Linked DNA regions of Drosophila melanogaster. The protein of the gene in region 2 interacts with the protein of the main gene of each other region in a pairwise test. Each region holds a gene or a part of one and is shown on either strand. Other genes may lie near its edges.

Region 1 (7,376 bases), on a different chromosome or scaffold from region 2:
TGCTGATATTTTATAGGAATATATAGGCACACAATCGTTTTTTGCATATAAAACAAAAAATACGTTTGACATGCAAGATAGATTCGTTATTTAGTTGCGAATAATGGAAATCCTTCTAATTTGCATTCTCTGCAAATACTTAAGAACTGGGAGGAAGTCGTACCCGTGATCGCGAGTCAAGTTGTGATACTTTTGATGTGTCCTGCACTCGCTGGGTGTTACATACGACTTGGGGCAGTACTCGCACTGGTAGATACGCTTGCTGGCGTCCATGTGAACCCTGCGGAATATATTGGAAGGGTCACGTAAGTGGGGATGGTGGGCTAAGTGACGGTGGAGATTCGTCTGAAATTCTACCTTTCATGCATGCTGCGGGCGCTGCAAAAGCGAAAGGTTTTGCCACAGTTGTAGCGACAGATGTAGGGACGCTCGGTTGTGTGGGTTTTCTGATGGGAACAGAGTTCGGCGGCTGTATAAAAGGATGCGCTGCACTGGTCGCATTTGTGGCGTCGTGTGCCCGCGTGGCGAACCAGGTGATTCTTCAGATTAAAGGCCGTGGTCAGATGCTTGCCACATATGTGGCACACATGCTGGGACGCCGGCGGCCTGAGACACCGCTGTTTGTGAGTCTCCAGCAGAATGTGATTGTGGAATTGGCTCTTGCACTTGGTGCAGGAGTGCTGCAAAAAAAATGTTTCAAAATACAATCCTTTATGAAAGGTATTGAACATTTTAGATGGAATCATTACCGTCAATGGAAGATTAATCATGTTGCAGTGCCGCGTAAGTGCGGCTGCTGATCGGAAGCCCTCGTCACAGTGGTCACAGACGAATCTACAAGGATAATTAAAGTGTTAATTGTGGCAATTGATTGGTAGGTTCTCTCATACTGTGAATAAGTTGTTCTAGTCATTCAGTGATAGGGTTTAAAGGATTCCTTAATTCCAATCAGAGCAGCACGTATAAAATGGAAAATCGTTCTAAAATTAAATAAAAATTAAAACAAAAGACAATTAATACGGAATGAATGTGAGAGCTAGCTAATAGCCAATTTAGCAATGTAAACTAAACATATTTTGTGCCCTGACGGAACGTCTTCAGATCTTTTAGGATTTCTACAAGTTTCGAACGAATAATATGGGAAAATCATGCAAGCATGCCTCTAAAATATGATTATTTACTTGGTATCTGGCGGGATGTCGTGCAGATGGTATTTGTGCAGCTTCAGTTCGTCCACGTTTTCGAATTCGAGGCCACACTTGCTGCACGTGTGGCTGGAGGAAGTGTCCCGATTATCGATAGCTTCACTTTCGGGTTCTGATTCGGGAGAGAGGCCCATGTCAAAGTGCTCATTCGACAACTGGCTATCTGTTGAAAGTTCTGGAGAAGATTGCGGACTGGCCACTGACTGGTATGCATTCATATACTCTGTTGTTGTCGTGGTCTTTATGGAAGCCAACTCATCCGTATTCTTATCCTGTGGCTCGGGATCGAAGATAAAATCCATGCGATCATTCAGCTGTAGCACTGGCGACAAGTTGGACAACTCATCCGGACAATCATCCAGCCATTGCTCCGCCAGGCTCTCGAACGCCTCCTCCTCCTTTTCCACCTGCCTTAGCTGAAGTTCAAGGAGCTCCTGGGCCTCGATGCAAACGCGGCGGAAATCGATGGCAATCTGCAGGTCGTGCTGGCAGTCCTGGCACATGAACCTGGGCAACTTGCCGTCCTCTTTTAGCTGCAAAGTGATTACAGATCGCGGCATTTATTCGGTTTTTATTTTCGCAAAACGCTAACGCACTCACCTGCAAGTTAGTTAGAGTCTCTATTTGACGCAAAACGGAAGAACTCGATGGATCGAAGAGATTCTTGGCTACCGCAGGATCAGCCATACGAGAACAGGTCCTGCAAATGTACCTCATGGCTTGTGTAATGAGATAACGCAGCACCCCGATCGATTGGAAGTGTATCTTTTTCGGTTTGTTTGGACGGAAGAACAAGAAAAGCGGCATTCGCATTTCTCAGCCCCACGCATAGTCGATTTCGAATTGACATTCGCCCAGCAACGCGGCCATTCCGCCGATTTTCAAAATCTCAATTTGTTGTTACAAGTTTTTTTCAAGAAATAAACCATTGTATCTGCAGAGCGAAAAGTCGAAAACCTTTGATGTCACAGGTGTACATTTTGATTATTTCTTCTTTTAGAACCATCAAATCAAAAATAGAATCAATTTGTTCAATTTAGGAATCTTATAATAAACTTGTACTTTCAGCAGTCCACATGAATTCTAGACAATCCTAGCACTTTCAGCTCTTCGCTGGTGTAATTTAGTGCTTTGATGTAGGGTCAAATGGGATGAGCGCAGGAACCACTGGTCACAGATCTCGCAGCTGGAAAATACAGTCAGTTTGCACATATTTTACGGAGGACAGCTAGTGCTCCTACTTACTGGTACTTCCGCTGATTAGTGTGCAGCATCTCATGTTTTTGACGCGTCGACGTGGAGGTGAAGGCCTTGTCGCAATGCTGGCACTGAAAGGGACGCTCGTTGGTGTGGGTCCGCTCGTGGACCACTTTACTGCTGCATCCTCGGTAGGTCTTGCTACAGAACCGACAAGCGTACGGTCTGGCGTCCGTGTGAAGGATTCTGTGGCGCCGCATCTCGTTATCCGTGTAGTACTTGGCCTGGCAGATGTCGCACGCGAACGGTTTGTGACCGCTGTGTCGCTGCAGGTGCAGTTTGAGGTAGGTAGAGGACTTGAAGACGCCGCCGCACTGGTCACAGAACCAGGACTTGGAGTTGCGCTTCGTACGCTTGGGGACACGGGCACTTACTCCCTTCGAGATGATGGACATGTTATGGAGCTGCTCTTGACAGTGCTCCACCTCCTCTGTTTGTACTTGTACTTGTTCCTCCTGATTCTTCTCATTCTGAGTCGCATCTTCTGCGTCCTTCGCCTTCTCATTATCATTGTGATCTTCCCGCAGAAGCCCAGCTGTATCTGCCATTGCTACACACATTTCCTGATCCGTGTGGTCCCACAAATCCTGCTGTAGCTTCTCAACATCCGGTTTATCGAGTTCCTCATCAACTATCGCCTTTTTTCGCAAAAGTTTCCTGTTAGCGGCCATAAAAGACTTGTGGACCTCCAAGCACTTATTGCGAAATGTTAAGATCCTGTCCAGCTGCACTTTGCAACATTGGCAAATTAGATGTGGCAGAGTGGTGTCAAATTCGAGCTAAACAATCATTTAAATCAATTAAATAGACAGCATACTTTAGTTTTATTCACTTACATACATACATATCGGTGATATTTTCCAGTATACTAATAAAGTGATAGTTGCTTTTGTTGAACAGTTTGGTAGCCCGACCCTGCAAATTGGTCACATTTTTGCCACAAGTTCGGCAAATCGATCGCAACTCAGACATTTTGAGCAAACCAAACGATATTTAAAAAGGTTTTTTAAAACTCAACATTATTGTGATGCATTACATTCAAGTGAATGGCAAGCGAGATAATGAAGATGCACATCAGCTGTTGTCTGTTTACTAAGTGCATGTGCGTGGTGTGTACACACTGGCTAAACGATATTTGAACAATTCAAAACAAAAATATAAAATTGTATTATTTTTTTTTTTTTTGAAAAAGCATAGACGCATCCAATACTTTTCTTTCATTTTAAACAACAATTTGGTTGAAATCGGCATCTTTTAAGAAATCTAACTTTTATTCGTTTCAGAACTAAAATCTTAATCAGACTTCTTTGCTCTCGACTTAATGTTATATATAAAATTCGTTGAGCCTTGCATTAAGTGCACGCTTATGCTGATATATGGCTTTGCCTGGCTGCATGATCACTAGGTGATACCTACTCCTTAATTCCCATTCTGCAGACCGGACAGTGGCGGCCACCATTAGCCTGGTACTGGTGGAGGCACTTCTCATGCAAGGCGTGGCTGCAGCGCAGATACACCATGGTGTAAACACTTAGGGGATCTAAACAAATCGTGCACAAGTCACCGGCTATATTGACATTAACCACCTTATCGCACTCGAGGCACTTTCTATGGGAATAGCGAAACACCAAGTAGCAGAGATTGTGCATGGCATGTCCACACCTCATGCGGCGCCGGTCGTCATCACTCAGTTCATACTGGCAAAAGGTGCACCTGCCATTCGGCGACCTGCAATGAAACAAGGGATTTAAGCCAACATTTTAGCTTTGAATCGCAAGGCACCAACCTGCCCACGATTCGACGCTCATTTAATAGCACCCACCTGGAGTAAGGCGAACTGCGGTCGTTATGCCAATTGAAATAGGCGAAAGCGGCAACGGACACCAGGCCCAAGCCTATTATTAGATTCACGTAGACCATTTTCCGCTGGCTATTGGCCTAAGTAACGTGGAAATAGAAATAAGTAGAGATTTTCCATGAAATCCCCAAAAATTAAATCAAATTTCCACTTTAGTGGGACCGCAACTGGTCGGCACTGAAAATCCAAATAGAATTGCTTGGCCACATCAACTGGCCTATTGATCATGATCAAGAATATATATGAAAATGAATTAAAAATTAATGCTGGTGCCGCAGAGGAGAGTCCTCGCAGCAGTCACTGTCCCGCCAAACCACGTCCCACCGACTTGACCTGCAGGACAGGACTTCCCCGTGTTCCAAACTCCACCGTTCCGCCTTTAAAATACCGTGTCGCACAGCCGGTATCCAAGCAGTCCAAGTGTGGCATTTAACCACCTACTCGCGCACAGTCACACCGATTTTCAGTTCGTGAACACAGTTTGATGAACTTTATGCGGAATTTTAGGGATTTGAGAATTTTGACGAGTCCAGGCAGGGGTTACTAAAGTCTCGACTCGCCCAGCGTGCGCCATCGATTTCGGCGTGGAAATCGAAGTGAAACCTCCAGCGCCGTTGCCCGAGAAACACACACACAGACACCTAATCGGGCACACCCCCACACAAAACGGGCAGACAGGAGGATTTTCCGCTGGCAATTACTCGGTGAGACGGGCGGTTAACTTAACGACGGCCATAGCTATGACGGACCGCGAGCGCAGCATTCACGAAATGCTGAAGGATGCGCCCTCGCTGAACGACAGCTGCGGAGCGGTGCACACGGGCACCGAAGGCGGCAGCGGGATCCTTGGAAGCGCCAGCAGCCACAGCATCGCCGGCGGAGGAGGTGGTGGCGGCAACGTTGGAGTTGGTGTCGGCGGCCCCTTTGGCGCCCCCAGCAGCCTGCCACTAAGAAACCATTCAGGTGAACTATTTACGAGTCCTCGATTTAGCGACCAACTGACTCAGCATCGATCTTTTCGTGCAGCACCCACCACACCCATGTCGCCCAGTAGTCCACCATCCGGTAACGGCATCCTGAGCCCCACGGACAGCGGGAGCGGCAGCATTATACGCACTAGCGCCTCCAAGATCGACAGTCTCAAGAACTGGAGTATATCGACGTACAAGTGTACGCGACAGATAATGCTGGAGAAGTTGGGCAAGTCGCAGCGGACCGTGGACTCGGAACTGGAGGCCCAGATAGAGCAGTTGCGCGAGACGCAGCGCAAGTATCTGTCCATCTTGAGGCTAACGCGGGCCTTTAGTTCGCACTTCCAGCACGTGGTCGTCACACAGCACGCCCTGGCCGACTCCTTCGCCGATCTGGCCCAGAAGAACCCCGAGCTGCAGAAAGAGTTCACGTGCAATTCGGAGACGCAGCGCAATCTCACCAAGAACGGCGAGCTGCTGCTTAATGCGCTCAACTTCTTTATTTCGTCGGTGAACACACTGTGCAACAAGACGATCGACGATACGCTGCTGACGATACGACAGTACGAAACGGCCAGGTAACCAAAGCTATATCCTTTCATTGTCGTGCAACAACGAAGGAAAAATCATCATCGATCTCTTCGATTTTAATTTAAACTCAGCATGTGTGTGGCTTTTTATAAAAAGTGTTGTGCCACACAGCTCTTATCAGAAATGCATTTTAAACTAGCCTTGTATACAAGCTTGAAACATTGCTTATCGTATTATTTCCTTGAAAAAATTTAAATACGTTGGATCAATTAGTCATAACCGCATTCCATGATAATCTCTACAATGGCAATAAGTTTTTATTTCCTAAAGCCATCGTATGTTTCATAAAAAGGCATGAGAATTATATGTAGTAGAAGTAATGTCCTCCTGCCTTTTAGAATCGAATTCGATGCCTACCGCATGGATTTGGAGAACACCAAGCCGGAGCTGACGCCCTCGGCCGTCGCTCTTGAGGAGACCCAGCGCAGCTATGCGCAGCACAAGGAGCAATATGAGAAGCTGCGCTCGGACGTGGCCGTCAAAATGCAATTTCTCGACGAGAATCGCGTAAGTGGTGCCAAATGGATCTTACCTATGCATTTAGCGAGACTAACCATTGATCCAATCCGTTTATCCGTCGATAGATTAAAGTGATGCACAAGCAATTGATTCTGCTGCACAATGCCATCGCTGCCTACTTCTCGGGCAATGCCATGGCACTGGAGAGCACTCTGAAGCAGTTCAACATAAAGGTGAGTGAGCATGGAAACATGGGAGCAGAGTGCTCCCATTAAACTTCGTTCGCACATTCACTTTTTCACTTCTCCTCTTGTGGCCCGCAGCTTAAGTCACCCAATGCCGTCACTGGATCCTGGCTGGAGCAGTAGATCGAGTAGACGCAGTTCGTCCCTTTCACTCGCGAAGCACTTAGGCGCGTATATTGGAGGAGATCGGGACACGTCGTCCACCTCCACTCATTTGCTGAACGAGCACGCTCTCTAAAAGAAAAAGGAAAAGATCGGTGGCAGAGATGATTCAGTATGCGATGCAGTGGACAGAAACACTGCATGGCGAACCATAACAATATTTTCGTGCTAAGTTTAAGTCGAATTCCTAAGCCGTAAGCAGAAAGTGAGAGTGGTAGGTGTATGTTATTTATATATTTTTCCAACCGCTTTCCATTGTATGTAACTCGCTGTACTACTCACATTTCCACAGCTGGTACGCTGACGTTCCTTTAACTTGTTTGTGTTTCCAAATTTTCGTTCGATTATCATCATATTGTTGTCCTCCGCGCTTGTAAAACATATATAACAAAGTGTACTCGGTGCAATATGAGTGTTTTAGTTTTAGATATTCTAGAATGTGTGTATAAATCCTTTGTAATTCACCCAAAACGAATAATCCATAACGAATCGAAACTGTTTTTGCGAGCTTGCATAATTTGAAATCATTGTTTTACTAGTCATCGTATTATTTACACTAAAATGAAGTCTATATATATATAAAAATATATAAATAAAAACTATTTAATTACACCAAACTGTGTGTTAG
Region 2 (11,570 bases):
GTGCTTTAAATTAATCCCAATAGAGAAAATCTTGAGGGTTTCAGTTGGATCTTATAGGCATTAAAAAAAGAGTTTAAGGAAACGCAATATTAAAGTTTTTCAGATGAGTTTTTAAAATTAAAGTCTCAGCATTATTTGCTGTATACAATGGCATGAGGGTGAAGATCTCTTTTTAAACTTAGGAAACCGTAATTTATTAACCAATGGGTTTAGATATTCTACTCCTTGTAGCCATTAGAATGAATCCCTATTCTTTCTCGAATTGAGACTTGAATTTGAAGTGGCAGCCACGCGTGCTCCGTGTAAAATGCTTTTCCAACTCATTAGCACCGACAGTGCCAGTTCCCCCTAATAACTAATTAACTTTCGTTTAGGAAACAATTTCCCCCTTTTCTTTTTCGAGTTCCCCAAATTCGTGTTTACACAACAAAAATGCTGCTCGACAAAGTGTATCTAATTTCATGGGCCAACAAAAAGAGGCAACTTGCAGCGTCCGGGCAACAAATGTGGCAGCGTAAAAAGCAACAGCCATAGTGCATTAATTATCCGGGGGACCTGCGACATCTGCTGCAAGCCGATGGCTGAGGGGGCCGAGGGAGAGGCATGTCCATTTAATGAGGCATTCATTGCACTCGCAACCTTGCGCCTGTCAACACACGCACTCGCACACACGGCCGACATCTGTCACCCGTTTCAGTCCGGGATCCCCTATAAAACCGCAGGCTAATAGATCTGAACTGATCCCCAGAGGCATAGAACGACAGCACTACAAACGGCAACAATTTCAAATCGATTTGGTACACTTAGGGAAAATGTTTGACTTTGTACACCAATATGTTCTAGACTCAGATCCTGATACCAATTTATATTTTTGATTGAATACCTCTTGCTTTAATGTGTAATCTGTACGCTTTTACGTTTTTGTTAAGGGGAGTGTACTTTAGTATCTCAAACCCATTTCTTCCAGTGTGCCAAATTGATTCAACCGTGTTTGTTTTTCCGATGGCTGGGCGGGCAGCGCTGTCTGCACCGCCCCTGTGGCCCTCGAATCCAGACGAGACGTGGGTGGTGACGCATGTCATCGTAAACTTCATCATTGGCTCCGTTCAGCCCTTCGGCAGTTGAGCTAGATCCTCTCCAGCTCATCGGCAACTTACATAACGAATTGTGTATTTTCTTTGGCTTCGTCTCAGTCTCTGCCCATTTCATAAATATCATGGGCCTTCGTCTTCGTCTCCGACTACGGATCCGATTCTCTAGGGTAGCATCCGATCCGACCAAGTGAGGGCTGCAACCGAATTTCATGCCTTGTCGAGCTATTTAATTGCAAACAAATTATGTTCTAGCCAGTCGCATCTCTGTGTGGCTAATGGATGTTGCGGCGGAGGATGCCCTGATGATGTTGTCGAAACCCGAACGTTTATCTTGTAAATTGGTTGGGATTAATGTCTGGCGGAAGTTGTGATTTTCAGCCCAAGATCGGCCAATGATAGAGGGCCAACTGCCGGTAGTATTTTTCCTATGTTCAGATATGTTCATTTACCTACAGCGATGGATGGGCGTTCTGGGTTTGAGGGCTCAGCCCAGCAGGAGGATCTATATAATCCTAATTGAAATAAAACAAATTGATTCTCTTATATTTTAAGCTAACTTTAATGGCTTAACGTTAAGCTGAACTTAGGTACTAATCAGGCTAGAATCTGTATAATATCAAAATGAGTACTATGAGTATATATGTATAAATGATTTAGAGAACTTAATCTATAGACAATTAAACTATAGGTATACCCCGTTTTAAAACTTTAATATCTCTAACTTCCTCCCCCCAAAATGGCCGATATGCTGAAGCCCTTGCTCCTTGTAGATGGTTGTTCCAGTGGCTGTTCCTGCGTAGACTGCTCCAACGTGCTCGTTTCACTGCCCACATCCAGTTCGAGTTCTTCGGCTCCCGACTCATCGGAAATGAGATCCGCGCCGGAAACGCCTGGTGGAAGGTTCAGGCCAGGATGTGGGCCCAAACCCGCCTGTAGCATCGCTGCTGGTGGATACATAGGTGAGGCCTGAATCGCTCCTCCATACTCATGGGGTCTCCCAAAGTAGGTACATGCCAAATCCACAAGCGATGGCCTCAGCAGGCTCTGCATATTCTGCTGAAAGTGCTGCATAAAAACGCTGGAGGCACTCCTCGCCTGGAGGGGATGCGGATGCGAATGCGAATGTAGATGGGGCGGTGGAGAGCCCAGGGCCAAAGAACTGGCGCCAGGCACCGACTGATCGTCCAGCGATGATGATAAGGAGCAGGCTGAGCCATTTGATCTCAGGCGCTTGATTTGCGGACCATCCGAATCGCCGATCGACGATGTTCCTCCGGCTGTCTCACCGCCTCCTTTCGTTGGCGACATGTCAGACTCGGATTGGGACTGAGAATGGGATAGTGACGGCGACTGATCTTGATCCTCGCCCGTTGGCGATGAAGACATCTTGCGTTTGCAGCGCGATTGTCCCGTTTCGCGGAAGCCCTTGGCAAACGGATTGTTGTCGATCTTCAGCTTGGTGATGCGATCGTTCTGCGGAAGAAGGCAACAAGACGAGCGTGAAATATGACGATTGCCGCCAGCATAATCTTGGGCAACGGGGAGATGGAGATGGAGAAGGAGAAGAAGACTCATCACATAAGTCACTGGCGTCCAGTAGCTGGCGTTAAGTAACATGGCCACTTGACACCAGACTGCGTTTCCAGTTCTCGGTGCTCAGTTCCACTCCAGATGACTTGACAACATTGTGATCTTTCGGATCTTTCTCAAACCGAATCTCCGATCTCTCGGCGATCTTGCTAATTAGAGGCAGACTGGCGTCGGCTGTCAATGGGCCTAGACCTAGACAAAAACACAGCGAGGCGCTCAAATTTACAAGGATGTGGCTATCCAACTTCCTAAAACAACAATCCGACCCGCTGACTTTCTGCCTGCCCTGCCCACCAACTACACGATCCACGGAGGCGTTCCATGCTAATTCGAGACGTTGACCAAGCTACCCACGGCGTGAGCGATCGCCGCTCGTTTGCCCAAAATTAACCAATTAGTGTGATCGTTTCCAGTCTCTTTGCTCAATGAATTGGCAAAAAAAAAAATGCACACACAAGTAGGAAGGCTAACTTCGAGGACACATGACTCGAATACTCTTGGACGAAACATTTTTGTTAAATACCTAATAGTGCGATTTTAGACAACCTTGGATAAGTCTGTGAATAACATGTGAATTAATCAAAGATAGGATACCATGAGGTGATTTTGAACTAGAAGGGATTCTCATCGTGTGGCAAAGATATATATTTTATTTGAGAGTACTAATTAGACATTGAGCTAGACTCATTACCAAAATGATGGCGCCCATTGAGAGGGTAAACGGAGTAGGGATGGGGATGGCACACCACTTACCTGGTAGGCTGTCACGGCCACGAACTCCGTCTCGGCGAACACAAAGGCCTGTTGTGGGGCCCAGGGAATCTGCGCCAGATCAGCGGTGCGTATGACGTGCAGACGCGGCTGATACTTGTGCATGCTGGCCAGGACAATCTGCGAATGGGGATGGCGAAAGGGGTTTGGACTTGGATTAGTAACTGGAGACGACTTCAAAGCCCTGGCCGCACTTACATGGCCGCTGTTATCCAGCGTGTTATTGGTCAACTTGACCTTATTGAACAGTATGGGCTGCGCCTGCCAATGGGCACCGGTGGCCGGACTGTCCGGATGCAGGTACATCCGCTGGGGACTTTGCGGCTCGGCTCCTCCGGCTGGAACCCACTGGGAGCCGGAGAACTTGTAGCGGCAGTCGCCAATGGGTACCATCTCGAGGAGCACGCAATAGTTGCTCTCGTCCTCCAAGCCGGAAACACTTAGTCGCATCGAGGGGAACATGCGTCTTTAGGGGAAAGGAAAAGCATCTTATTAGTTTAATCAGTCTCTTATTATATAAGACAAAATCATTTTTCATTATATTATTAATACAAATAAGACTTTAATATCATAATTATATGGTATATTTTACTATTTGATAAATGGCTAATTTCAAAGTTGTTATAAAACCTAGCATAACCTTTTGTATATACCATATTAGACATGAGAGTTATCTTACAGATATTTCCCTTATAAATATTACCAAATCGTTGGTATACTGCTTTCCTACAACATTTTCCTCTGTGTCAGATGAGCGGGGGAAGTCCAGGAAAACGCCTGGAAAACCTTAGAGCCTTTGTTTACCGAACAAACTCAAATATAGTCATGCTAGAACGACAAAAGGAGCCCATTCCCGGTTCCAGCGTGGGCGTTACAAATATTTAATTGTGAGATTTCCCTTCCATGCGCCATGTAATTAGGACTGGTCAAATAGAGATTGCCCGGTGGAGTAGGGGCCGTTTTCCCTGTGCTAACAAGGATGCGAGGCCCTGACCCTCGCCTTCAACTCCAAGTCGCTGCCGCAGGAACAGCAGGTGGTCACGGCACTTGGCGCCTGGCCGAAAAATGTTTGCCCTTCGTCCTCATCCTCAACAGCGTCCTCATCCTCGAATGGTTTCTTGTTTTTGGCAATGATTTCGTGTTTCCCTCAACCGATGATTAATTAATTGAAATCCACAGAGCCTCGGTTTGCTAACATTTAATTTGATTCTGGCTTCGGGTCTGCCTTTTCAGCTCCGTTGAATTCCATTAGAGCACGGCACCGAAATATTTCGACATTTGTGCGGTTTAGAATTTCATTTTCAATTTGCTTGCTCTCAGTTTTTGTTTATTGTTTTTTTTTTTCTTTATTTTTTTGGCAAGAGTCCGCTGTCTGGATTTGGACAAACGATTTGTTAAGATCGATATCTTTGGCGCGTCTGCGCATAATTACCAGTGGAATTTTCTACTGCGAGTAAGGAGCATGCTGACCACTTGACGGCATTCGACTTGGCGCTTGACGCTTCGCAGGTGCAGGGACACAAGCCAGGAATGCGACGGAGCATCGGATCTCGGACTCCCGAAGGGTACTCTGGAAATATCCAGAGCTCACTCCAATGTTTACCCTACAATTCCATATAAATAGCTGCTTGATATTCCCAGAATTAGCATATTTAGGAAATTAAGAGTGAGACTATTTATTAATTGACAGCTATAAAACTGGAAGCAAACGACATAAATTTTGAACTCTTCAGATCGTAAGCCAGTTTTGAATGAGTCTACTAGGAATAACATTTCTTATTAGAGAAAGGGTAAAATATTTTCTTTTTTTCTTTCTGCAACTAAAAGTTTGAATCCAATTGAAAATTCTGGGTATATTTGCGCTTCTCATCGAAGTTACCGTGTCGCTTCTGTTTACCGCCTCTCTTGGTGAGTGGAGGAGCCCACACAGTCTAAAAGCATCGTGACAAAGTCATTTCATTTGCCGCCAGTATCAGACATTAAGCGATACGGTTTGTTCTATCTAACTTTAATGGCCGTCTGCGCTTTTACCACCCAAAAAGATGGAACGGTTCAAGTGGCAAGCGGAGCCCAGACAAGCAACTAATTAGTTTTTATGAGCGCCACTTGGCATAGGCATAGGTTTTGGACTTGGGATCGTATCCGTATGGGAAATGAAACGGGGATTGGGATGCGATTGGACAGACGGTGGCACTCTGGCGCCTAATCATTAAAAATTCAAATCGATTGCATCGCGACCTCTCCACCGATGCCCATAAAACATTTTTGATGAGCATAAAAAGTATTTAATACGCAGACTATATGAATAATTCATGGCATATATAAAACAAAAGGGTTGTTCGTGGCTCGAAGTGTATTCATTCAATGCATTTCGAGACCAAAAGTTTATGTTAATGCGTTTGGGAACCCTTTTTGATCGGCTCGAACTGAGGGCAAGTGTGAAATTGCTCGTATCTGTCGACAAGCTGTGGTCACTGTCACTGCCAAAAGATACAGATATGTACGAGCATCTTATAGAATGCAGAACGCGAAGATATTTCGGGGCCGCAGGTTGTTCGCTGCGCAGACAGGCGCCACAATAAAAACGCTAAGAGCTACAAAGATGACGACAAAGTATCCTTGACGCGAAGATTTATGCCAGGCGAGGCATAAAGGAGCGCCGACGAACCGACAGGACGTCCCACTGAGCTCGGCGCTCGCCCGATCGGTCCAGTTGGTCGGTCTACAATAAATTACGATGACGCCACTTTACGCACATTCGAACAAGTGCCGGACACTTTTAGGTAGTCGCCTTTGTGCAAGTAGTCGTGCATCTGATCTGATACTCATAGATACACGATAAATTAGCTCCGGGCGATCGCGCTATGCCTTTGATTCGTACTATCTACGATCTGAGCACGCAAAGTGCCGGCGAACTTGTTCGCTTTACGCCTCGTGCGATAGCCGATGTCCAGTGCGCATCAATTTTGGCTGAACCTGCAACCGCTTTTCCATTTCCCGATTTTCAATTTTCAATTTTCGATTTTCACATCCTGCCGACGTAAGTGCATCCTTCCGCCTTGTTTGCCTGTGAAAATCGTTGTCGCGACGCCGCTGTAAACAATTTGCAGGCGCCTGCATCTAATGAGCCTTTAACAGCAGCACATCCTCGCTGGACTCTACTGAATCGGATCGGAATCGGGATCGGGCCAGGGATCGGGCTAGGGATCGTTATAGGGTGCTTTAAGTGCCCGCGCCCGTTGGCTGGTTTATTATTCTTTGCCCTGCGTCTGGGGTATTAGTTTTCATGTTCGTGCTAATGCATCGCTACATCTATGTTTGTTCCCGATCTCTAAAGTCTGTATATCTCGAGATTCCCCCACTCTTGGTTTTTCATCATTTTCATCATCAAAGATCTTTTCTCTCTGTTCTAAACCTACCTGCCACTCTTGGTGATGATCATTTCCGTGCCAATTTGATGGAACTGCTTCCATAGATCGTCGTTCTGCAGGGTCATCTCCACGCCGGGCAACGTGACTCGAGGTGGCATGATCACGTGCCGTGGCATCGGAATTGGCAGCATCGGCGGAAACGGATCTGAAAAGAACAATAATCAATAGGGGGCTTATAGGTTAACAAAAGCTCAAGCAATCTAACAAACTACTTAGTCTTCAACAAAGAAAATTAAGAATTATTGAAATTATGTAAACATATTAACATGGTATTTGGCTAAAATGAAACCCATTCAAATAACTTAATAGTCGCCATTAGTTTAAGAGCGTGGGTCTGAATTAAAGTGTGACATTTCTGACTTATCCAAAGAGATCTTACGGCATAAATCCATATGATGACTGACATATTTGTCATAAAAACAAACGAACAAACATGGGGTTATATAAAAACGCTTATTTGGCGAACGAGGAACACCGATTCTTTCCCGATTACCAAACTTAATGCCCTCCATCTGGTATCCACAAAATAAGGAGCGATACTTTGGCAAACAACGATTTTGTTTTAGGGGTACGCTGATCCCGAAATTTAACGACCGTCGGCAACAAGAAAAATGCATTTGATATCAAGTTTCTCGATCGGCGATCACTTTCCCACATTACTCAGCTTTATGATCCGCTGGCCATAAACACCGCTACTCGCACACACCCCGCTGATCTTGGCCAACTTTGGTGGGCTGAGACAGTAACAGAAACAAAAGCAGTTTGCCAAAAGTTACGACCATTAATGCTAATGATGGCTAACAGCTTTGCCGCACGCGTAACGGGGCGGATGAGTGATATGAAGGGGGCAAGCAGTTTACCTGGTATGCGCTGCATGATCTGCTGGCGATAGATCTCGTGTGCTATGTGCTGCTGCATGCGCAGATCCACCAGCTCGTTCATGGTGATCATGATGTGTTGGGTCCAAAAATAGTACTAAATCTTTGCCCGAAACTTCTTTGTTTGGCGTTTGTCACTTGCACAATTGTTCCCCAGCACACAAAAAGCACTGTCACAACATATGGCGGTGTCTATTTTTTTGGAGCCCGGGTTTACTTTTTAGCCGAGCACGAGACGCCGCCGATTAGCGTCAATTATGCAAATCACGGCACACAAAAGTCTCTCATGTGCGTGGGTGTTAATTTGATTAGGCCCGGTGTCGCGTACGTGGGTTATTATTTTACCACAAATATATTGAGAGAATTTTTTGTATCTTTGGGCGACGGTCGTGTCTTGAGCTCGCCAAGTTCGCATTTCAACTGAGCAAGTTCCGCTGGCAGAGCGATCTCTCGATCGAGCTGAATGGAACGAGCTTGACTCGTTTCCGTCTTGAGCCATTGATCGAGATTACCTGCTGCTCACCATCGATTGGCTGTGGCAGTGTACGGAGTGCGGGAGCTAGCCGTCCCGCTCTGGTTTGGCACCTCCATTTTGAAAAATCCTCTCGATTTTCCAGATGCCATGGCTCCGCCCACGAAGCGCTGACTATCACTCTCTCTCTCTCTCTCTCTTCACATTGTGCCAGCTCGCTCTAATTGCGTTTAATTCTGAAGTGCGAAGTTGCACAGTCAGCGGAGGAGCAGCAACATGTTGCTTCTGGGTCCATTCGCTATGTGTGTGTGCGCTGGCTGGCTGCCTTTTAATTATGATCATGATGATTGAAATTGTTTTTTCTCCGTCTCCGCTTTTTGGCATCTTTTTGTGTATTTATGCTTTGCCCATTTGTAGCCGCTGCCATCACCATCACCATCATGGTGGTCCTCTTGTCTGGCCTCTCCAAGCCGTGTGTGTTTGTCGTTTTGCTGATCATTTATTACATTTTACCCGGCGCACTACAGAGAAAAGAATTTATTGATGCTGTTTGAACAGCAATTTGATGGTTTTTTATTGAAAAATATTTACTCTTGGTGTGTTTGGCAGCGTATTGTATAAGATATTGATCTAAGTATCAGTAAAAGTTCCAATCACTTACTTTAAAGTACCTTGTTTACCTGTTGGCGGATTGATGTTGGATGAAATTGCTTGGTCATCGTTGCAATAGTTTTTTTTTATACACATTTTAGAGTTTATCAGTAGAGAAGAATTGGTAAATAGTTTAATTAATTAATATATTGGGGCCCATTATACAATAATCTTTACTTTTTAATTAAACGAATAACACTTTAATGCAGTTTTCTCTGTGTAATTATATGTTATTTCGACTTTGACGCTGCGTCATTCAGGCATTGATATGGCGGCATCCAAAGGCCCGATATGGCGTCTCCACTTGCTGGTACACGAATATCTATAGGCTATAGTCTAGTCTACAGATATTGCCGGCGATGCAGGTGATCACTGTTTGTGGATCTGACCTTTTAGAGAGCTTGGCAAAACATTTGTTTCAAACGACGGAAACGCGTGTCGGAGCTGCTTGCTAACAAATTCGAAACTAATTAAGGCCCAATGAGGTGGTCTGAACTTTGACTGAAGTTAAGCATACGCCATGTGGGCCGACGATGGCGAAACGTGCTCGGTTTTTAATGTGTTGTTTTCTTTTTTTTTTTTTTGCCAACGACTAGTCTCGTGTTTGCCTCCAGTGCCACTTCCTTTCAAGTTTAAGACAATCGCTTGGCTTATCTGAACAGCATTACTGCGAAATTCCTGAGGCTCTCGATGGGTAAATATGTAGTTAGCCGAGCTAATTTACACAGCACTTTGCTGGCCTGACACATCCACGCATTATTTTCCTATGGATATGGCCATAGCCACAGTTGGCGGCGATAAGCGTCTGAAATTAATTTACTATTAGCAGGCCATTTCGCCCAAATTGCGTTCTGGCCACGTATGAATGTATGCGCCGTCTGACCATAATTTATGCCTCGCGTTTTCACATTTGGTCGCGCTCATTTCCGGTTGCGTTTTCCGTTCTGCCGTCTTTCAGCTCGACTACGTTCGTCAAACCATTAGACATCGATCCTGTAGAGCCTCTAAAGGGTCTGCCCTTTCAGACCATGCCAATAGCTGTGCAATTTGTCAGCACCCAGCTAATTGGTGCTGCCCCTGTGCCTGCTGTCTGACTAATGCATTTCGGTTTACTTCCGTTCGGTTCCGGATAAATGGGCCAACAGGTAGCAAATGATGCACTCGAAGAACTGCTAGTTGAGCAAGTAGTGTTTGCAATAATTAAAATACCTGCAGTTAGTTCGTTTTGCATGGGTTTCAGTCATCAAAGTATGGAGAAGCAAATTAAGCAAAAATTTCATTGAGTTCAGATAGATGGTCTTATCTATGACACATAGTCAAAGGAATTTTTGATTATTTTACTAGAGTGATAGTATTTCTCTGAGTGTACTTGCATTCCTGCCGCTTATCAATGTTTTGGGTATACATTTCAGAGATACACGTTTCAGACAGCGATCAAGTGAATCAGGGAGGACAAACAGATTGAATAGCCTTGAACCAGGGACCGTCCTCCAACGTCATTGTAAGTGCTATCCGTCCGGTGTCTTTCCACCCAGTTGCGAAATGAACCCGATACATGTGTATATCGGCTATAAAGGGGGCAGGTGGGAGCACGAGCCCTCGGCTTCTTTCTCGCACGGCTGCTCAAATTAAAATTAGCATAAATCGTCTATGAAAGCGATGTAATTTTCCATGGAAAATATGCCCTCCACTCATGTCAAGCGGCCATCGCAATTTATTGATTTAAACTTTTAGCTCGGATTTGTTTGAACAAGCCCTAGCGCCTCTATATACGACTATTAACGGACTGGCACTTAATCTCCGATTCTCTGATTGTGAATTGTCGATGATGGATGGTTGGATATTTGTATTTGCGTTACCCGTGAGTAGATCCATTGTTGCAACACGACCAACGTCTGGTCTTTTGCTGAGGCATGCAAATCTACTTTGGTATGCAAATTAAGTGACTCAATCAATATGGATGCGAACCAAACTGAACTGAACTGAAGCGACTCGAACCACCACATCGATGACCAAAGGAGGCATCATAATCATCTGTGTCCATTGCGGACCTCTTGACAGCTTTCAATGGTCGCGGGACCAGACCTACTCCAATAATTGAGAGGTGTTTAATCGTGTGTTTCGTTTTTGTTTTTCTGCACACTCACGACGCCCGAGATGTAGGCCTTTCGTTATGTTCCGTCTCCACCGGCTACCAATCCACTCGATCGCTGTTTGCTCTCAAATTATCATAAGCAAATAGGGCCCAAGATGCGCCAGGCCAGGCTGGATTCGGATTCATATATTCATAATCATATTCAGATTCAGATTCAGATTCAGATTCGTATTCGGATTCCCCCGTCCCCGTTGTTACTGACTACTTTGCGCTTCTCAGACCCCATCTTCAACTGAAGTGCTAAAGTTGCTGGCGACGCGACGCTCTGAGAGGCGCTTCTGTTGTGTAGACCCTTGAGTTATTACAATATTATATTCAAATTTCAAGTGCTACTGGCTCGCCGGTCCTCCACTCTCCGATCGTCTCCTCCATGAATGGTATATGGTTATAGCTGGGTATAGTTGGGTATCTGGGTGCCGAATCGAAGAATCTGCATATTTTCCAAAGCATCTAAGTATGGTTGTTTGCCTTCGAAGCCCATTGAGTTGGCACTCGGAGATGCGTGTTAATGGGATGTGTAACAACAAG

The links.
Region 1: the proteins of Doc2 (region 2) and CG31441 interact in a two-hybrid assay, tested with the Drosophila melanogaster proteins (one large-scale study listed by BioGRID).

Annotation. Positions count from the first base shown.
Region 1 is NT_033777.3:11,232,415-11,239,790, reverse strand, and holds CG31441 (uncharacterized protein), read right to left. Parts: upstream 3,506-7,376; 5' UTR 3,435-3,505; coding exon 3,303-3,434; coding exon of another isoform or gene 3,299-3,302; intron 3,242-3,298; coding exon 2,451-3,241; intron 2,392-2,450; coding exon 2,289-2,391; 3' UTR 2,167-2,288; downstream 1-2,166. Other genes in the region: CG31388 (uncharacterized protein), read right to left, coding at 164-280, 358-680, 750-834, 1,182-1,738, 1,806-1,922; CG17721 (uncharacterized protein), read right to left, coding at 3,875-4,190, 4,249-4,382; Arfip (arfaptin), read left to right, coding at 5,061-5,283, 5,347-5,869, 6,221-6,389, 6,467-6,574, 6,665-6,709; Dph3 (diphthamide biosynthesis 3), read right to left, coding at 7,373-7,376.
Region 2 is NT_037436.4:9,011,055-9,022,624, forward strand, and holds Doc2 (Dorsocross2), read right to left. Parts: upstream 8,193-11,570; 5' UTR 7,838-8,192; coding exon 7,747-7,837; intron 7,032-7,746; coding exon 6,875-7,031; intron 3,922-6,874; coding exon 3,654-3,921; intron 3,576-3,653; coding exon 3,438-3,575; intron 2,568-3,437; coding exon 1,812-2,567; 3' UTR 1,632-1,811; downstream 1-1,631.